Linked DNA regions of Nothobranchius furzeri. Each later gene encodes a partner of the first gene's protein in a complex. Links are inferred from orthologs where the notes say so. Each region holds a gene or a part of one and is shown on either strand. Other genes may lie near its edges.

Region 1 (2,708 bases):
TATTTAAAAAAAAAATGTCTTTGAGGATGCTCAATAGTTATATTTTACAGAAAACACCCTAAAGATGAATGGAAATCAGCATTGAAAATAAGATGATTTGATTTACTAATGTTATTATATTTTTTTTTTACCTCCACTATATAAAACATCTGGGTCATCTTAATCAAAGAGTGGTAATCCATACTTTCTACTGAGGGTATTTTTGGTATATAACTTCAGAGTAAACATTTAAAACACTAAATTACAATTCATGTCTATGACCATATTAGTTAAATAGATATATAGAAATGAAAATTCAGTGTGTCGATTTGAGAAATAGTGATACCAGAAATTACCTTCAATGGAAAAACAAAGAGTCTTTAACATTGCATTAGGAATAATATACAAGTTCATCATTAAACATAAAAATTCACTAGTTGATTATTTGCACGAAGCTTTTTAAAATAGTTAAATTATTTACCTATTTTGCAAACATTTAATGAAAAAATATGAAGAAAATTTCTTATATAAATATTTTTTATGTAAATTTCAAAAACAATTGTTTATTTTCATTAAATGAGCTTCCTCAGAGAGCTCTCTATAAACATTAAAGTACAGGAAAACTCAGCAAAGAATAAAACCTTTATTTTAAATAAAAACTGTTACAAACATGTTTGATTTACTAAGATACAACACAAATATCACACAAGGTAAAAACAAAGCCCATCATTTTCTCTAAAGGTCTTGAAGTTTGCTGTGAAAAGAAAAAAATACAACTTTAACTTATGAACACGAATATTGGTTAGGACCAGTATTAAATATGCAACGATATGTCAGATTTCATCCCACCTGTCCTCCACGGTCCGGCTAGATGGATAGTACACTTTAAACGTGAAGCCACTTTTTGAAAAAGAACCCTGAGGACAAAAAATATAAACAGAAACAAATAAAATACCTTAGTGACTAAAAGTAAACACATTAACAAAAATCATGTTATTTGAGTTTCCTGCTTCTTGTACCGGGTTGAAACAGAGGCAGTCAGCGCTGGTGATGCTGAAGGGGTCGTACTTGTCTGCAAAAATTATGGCATCAGGCACCGGATAGACCCGCAGGGAGAAGTCGTAGGCCCAGAACACGGGACTGACGTACAGAGGCAGTGGGGATAAATGGCCCTGGGATAGGATGGTCTTTACGAACTAAACAGAAGAAAACAATTAAATTAAAAAGTTTTGGATTTCTATTTTTAACTCCCATCTTCTCAGAAGCATCTGATCTTTTTGGGATAATGCATGAACACGCTTTGGGGGAGAAAATGAGCCTCACGTGGTTTGGGATGTCGAGATTTTTGTTTGGCAAACGGACACAATTCCTGCACATCTTGTTGACCAGATCTTCTCTGATGATGACGATCTCTTGGCTGCAGTACTGAACTCTAAACAGGTCAGTTTAAAAAAAACAATTTAGCAACGAAAACCCTTAAAGAGCAAGTCACCCCCTACCAGTCTCACTCCACTCCCACTTCATGTTTGAAAAATGCAACATATGAGGTTGCTTGGCAGACCAAGAGGGCGGAGCAACCAACAAACACACACATACTCAGGCTCACAATGACATTGTGACATCATAATGTACCAGCTAATGTCATAGTCTTAGCCAATAGCGATGGCAGATTTAAATTTAAACGCAGTTCAGTGCAGAGTTATTAACCTAAAGACGACAGGCAGAAAATTTAAAATTTAACTAAGATGCACTAAAGTCCCAAATTATCGATTACACGTGTCTACGGCACGATTAGACACTCGTTTATATGGTTTATCAGCAAAAAAAAAAAAAAAAGTAGATTTGTGGGTGACTTGCTCTTTAAATAGGTGCAGTTTTTTTTTAATTTACTTTTCCCATTTGAAACAGTTACGTGTTCGTTTTACCTGCAGGGATTGGTCGTGAACACAGAAAAGGGGACTCTCTGTCTGAACTCTTCTGTGATGTGGTCTGCCAAGGGAGGCCTGTGGGAAAAATTCAGATTAATCCAAAGAACGAAGGAAATTTTAACAAATGAGACGTGTTTGAGAACGTACCGCGGTAGGATTGTGCCTGGACCCGGGTCTTTGGGACCGGGAACAAACACAAAGCGACTACTGCAGGTTTAGAAGGAACACTTTAGTTCAAACACACTGAAGATAAAAAATAAAAAATAAGAAAAGTGGGCCAATCCTACCTGCTGTGAATGCTGGGATATGCACTTATAACATCAGCAAGGGTCTTCAGTGAATCTGAGAAAAGACAATGTTGTTTTTATGCACTAGGATTGGGCTGATTTCAGATTTATTTTCTTTGAGCTGTCCACACTTAGTGCTCCAGTTCAGCTGCATGATTAACCTGTTAAGCGAAAGCGGGAAGATATTTGCCGACAGTGTCAAAAAGCTGTGTGTGTTGACTTTAAAGCTCAATAAAATGACTCTGAGTCCGTCTTTAGGAGGTGTAGGTGAACGGTTTCTGACCCAACGGCCTCACCTTTGAGCGCTTTAATCTGCGTTTTCCCAAAAGGAGCGGAGGAGAAGTTCCCACACAGAATGAAACAAGTGGGAGGCATGGCGGCATATCCTGTCAAAAAACAAACACATTCAAAACAAGAGACTGAGTTTTCTCACTCCTCCACCTGCAGGGGCCTGTAGCGCCGCACCTGAGAACATGGTGTTGAGCTTTTCCATCACTTCGATGCTGTCCAGGCA
Region 2 (3,758 bases), on another chromosome or scaffold:
AAATGTTGTTAGACCTGTTCATAAGTCATCAGTCTTACAAATATTTTAAAACACCAATACATAAAGAATAAAAGCATTTTACTTTCTTAAAGGTGAGTTAAATGATAATTATATATAGTTAAATCAAATATAACATAAATGAAAGGGTTTTACCTGGGAGCTGTGGGTCCTTCATGTCTGTTCCCGGAGGCTTTGACGCCGGACTGTGTCCTTACGTGTGAAGAGATCCTCAGAGGGCTAAAGCACTCCTCCCAATCCTATTAATACTGTGTATTAGTGGCCTGATCATCATGTCCTCTGGCACAAACTGACCTCATAAAAATGCTGAAAACATACTTTTGAAGACTAAAGCACCTATGTACCTAAGCATATAGCACATAATGTTGGTTATTTGTTGGTGATTATATTAAAACAGCTGTTCTTAGAATAAACTTCATCTGCATACGAGTTTTAAACAAACGGTGAATATGATGTTCGTTAATTAGGTAATACTGTATAACTTCAGGAAAATCTTAATTTTTGTGATTGTTTGTCCTAAGAAATATATTTTTACAGATAGTTAGACCTATATGGAAACTATTGCCCTACAGATGTCAAGGAAGTAAAAGGTCAAAATGGCATTTATAAAAATATATATATATATATTTGGACTATCAGAGGGGTGTTGTGTGTAGTCAGTATTTAAACAGAGTTTAAGGCAGCTAATTTAGGAAATGTAGTCAGTTTCCCCCCCAGCAATCTAAATCCAGCAGCATGACTAAAGTGATGAGTTACTCAAATTTACCCTAACTGTAACATGTTTTATCTGAGAGTATAAGGATGGATCCTGGTCCAGAATAACACCAAGGATCCTGTCACTAGTACTGGAGGCCAAGTGAATGTCTTCAAGCTGTGATCTTAAAACTCTCAGGTCCAAAAAATACAGCCAATGTCTTCTCTGAACATGGAAATAGAAAAGTAAGAGTCTTTCAGGTCTTTAAGACATGTTTGTAATCTGATTACCTGGTTGGATTTTGTCCATCTCTTGACAATGATCAGCTAAGAATGATGGAGGTGGTGATGATGATGGTGTAAGCAGAGATTTAACAAAGAGACACTATTTCACTTACACATACTTTTTTCCAGAAACGTAAAATTGCTATTGTGATATAAGGCTCTTATCTGCCAACATTGTACTTTAAAAAGTAAACTGCAGGGAATTGATTTCAGTAGTTTGGTGTCTTCAGCGCCTTTTACCGCCCTCCAGTGGACCACTTGTGAGCTGACCCCAACTTATTTTTACTGTTTTTAATTTCTCATAATGTAGAAAAATAAAAATCACAACATTAAAACCTCTAATGCGTGAATTAAAACTAGAAATATCGCCACACAGCGTCACCAAATTGTACATTCACTCCAGAATCTTGCTGCTACATATTTTGACTGACGTCAATTCTAACCAATGACAAGGCATCCTTTAACAATTGTCCAATCACAGACGAGTATTTGTTGGCGGGGTCTGAGCTTTTGACCAATAAACACCATTCGCTCCACGATGTACCGGAAGCACATGCTGGCTCGAGGCGGTTGATGTTGTTGTCTGGGACGTGTAAAATGAGAGATATTCGAGTGTTTTTATAACAGCAAAACACGATTGTGAGGCCATAGGAAATGTCATCAGCAACGCCCGTTCCCTCGGCGGAGCTCGAAGCTGAGCGGTGCGGGAGTGAGGAGGAGAACCGTGCTGTGGAGGCAGAGGACCGGGGTCAGCAGCTGACAGGCCCGGCCGTCGTGCCCCATAACCGTCTGTCCAAACTCCCGCTGGCCCGCATCAAAGCTCTGATGAAGACGGATCCAGACGTGTCCTTGGCTAGCCAGGAGTCTGTGTTCATCATCGCTAAAGCTACGGTAAAACGGTTTACTCAGTAAGAAGGTCAATGTTTTCATGTCACGTCCCCCACGTTTTATCTAGAATAAACCTTTTAGTCCACAAAATAGTTAATATAAACCAATTGCCATTGTTTAATGCAAAACACACGTGTTAGTTTCAGGTAAAATACACCAAACCTACAAGTTTGACCTAATTTTCCCTTTTTTCCAGGAGTTGTTTGTTGAGATGATTGCCAAAGATGCTATGGTGTATGCTCAGCAAGGAAAGAGGAAAACTTTACAAAGAAAAGACTTGGGTAAGAGCTGAAACATTTCAAAGTGACTTCAGAAATTGATTCCTTTTATTTTGATACATTTTTTAAAGTCATTTTTAAGAGTATTTCGAAATTAAGAATACTTCTAGCAACATAATTTTATAGAAACAAATATTGCTACATCAAGAGGAGCCAGTTAAGGTGGCTCGGGCATCTGGTTAGGATGCCTCCCTGGACACCTCCCTGGTGAGGTTTTCTAGGCATGTTCAACTGGGAGGAGACCTAAAGGAAGGCCCAGGACACGCTGGATGTTTTTGGGCTGGCCAGGGAACGCCTTGGGATTACCCTGGAGGAGCTAGCCCAAGTGGCTGGGTAGAGGGAAGTCTGGGCCTCTGTTTAGGCTGCTGCCCCAGCGACCCGACCCCGGATAAGCGGACGAAGTTGGATGCTACGTATTTGTGTATCTCCATGAAAAGTGGAAGTGCTAGAGAATATAATGACTTTAAAAGTCATGTTGTTCAAAACAAAATGGTGATTATATATAAAGAAGGAAGCTTTAGTTAGGTTGATAGAAATCACTAAGTGCCTCCTGATTTTTATTTCGAGAGGCACTATATAAAAGCTTGTTTCTTCTTCATTACTCAGTAGCTAAAAAGCAGTATTTATGTTAATAATAATGTTATAATTTCATCTGGTGGAGAAAACACTTTAAACAGGCATGAAGTGATTCAGTTTTAACAATATTAATAATAATAATAAATGAAAATATTAATTGCACACTCTTCTACTTTTCCTCCACAGACAATGCAATAGAGGCCATAGATGAGTTTGCATTTCTTGAAGGTAAATCATAAAAAAAGACATGAAACAATCCTGCAAAGTTTTGCAAATTATTCCATGTCATCTTTTGACTCTGGTATTTTAACTTCACCCACATGCAGATGTGTTTGTGTGTCTTATCATGTTGACCTCTTTCCTCTACAGGAACACTGGATTAAAGATTTTTTATAAGACCACATTAAAAAGATCCTCAACTGTCTAAAATGTGTTTCATTGTTGAATCACAGAACATTTTTTCTAAGTCAACCTCACAGATTGATTAAATGTTTTTATATGACAAGCTCTAACTTTGAATTTGTCTGATATTGTGTAAATGGTTTTGTAAATATGTGAGTAATGTTACTGGAAAATGGAATAAACTTTTGTTTTAACAACACATTTTCATCTTGTGTGGAAACTGCAGAAATATACAATTCCCAGTAATGGAGTTTTTAACAGAATTGTACAATTATAACATAATTAATTGAAGGTTGACTTTTTTGTTTTAAAAACACTTTTCTTTTATTGGTTGGATAAAATATGCAAATTTTTTTAGATAGGGATTTTGGGTTTTCATGAGCCGTATGCCAAAATCATCAATATTAGAAACAATGAAAGGCTTGAACTACTTCAGTTGTGTGTAATGAATCTAATATATATGAAAGTCTGTTAATCTGTACATTACAGAAAATAATGAACTTCATCACAATATGCTTATTTTTTAGAAGGACCTGTATCTGCTGTATTTGGGATCATTGTCCCATTTCAGGACCCAGTTTTTCCAGGTGTGGCAAAACAATTTAGATTTCAAATGTC

Evidence for each region. The genes of interacting proteins can lie anywhere in the genome.
Region 2: pole2 (region 1) and pole4 share a complex: the UniProt entries of both Homo sapiens proteins name them as parts of the DNA polymerase epsilon complex. The link is inferred for Nothobranchius furzeri from reciprocal best matches to the Homo sapiens genes POLE2 and POLE4.

Annotation. Positions count from the first base shown.
Region 1 is NC_091758.1:27,026,644-27,029,351, reverse strand, and holds the end of pole2 (DNA polymerase epsilon subunit 2), read right to left. Parts: coding exon 2,660-2,708; intron 2,581-2,659; coding exon 2,491-2,580; intron 2,250-2,490; coding exon 2,195-2,249; intron 2,115-2,194; coding exon 2,055-2,114; intron 1,983-2,054; coding exon 1,905-1,982; intron 1,412-1,904; coding exon 1,303-1,411; intron 1,176-1,302; coding exon 999-1,175; intron 897-998; coding exon 829-896; intron 734-828; coding exon 715-733; 3' UTR 604-714; downstream 1-603. UniProt on the Homo sapiens protein: Accessory component of the DNA polymerase epsilon complex. Participates in DNA repair and in chromosomal DNA replication.
Region 2 is NC_091748.1:55,970,173-55,973,930, reverse strand, and holds pole4 (DNA polymerase epsilon subunit 4), read left to right. Parts: upstream 1-1,528; 5' UTR 1,529-1,650; coding exon 1,651-1,887; intron 1,888-2,080; coding exon 2,081-2,165; intron 2,166-2,924; coding exon 2,925-2,966; intron 2,967-3,107; coding exon 3,108-3,121; 3' UTR 3,122-3,339; downstream 3,340-3,758. Other genes in the region: serine/threonine-protein kinase NIM1, read right to left, coding at 154-175. UniProt on the Homo sapiens protein: Accessory component of the DNA polymerase epsilon complex. Participates in DNA repair and in chromosomal DNA replication.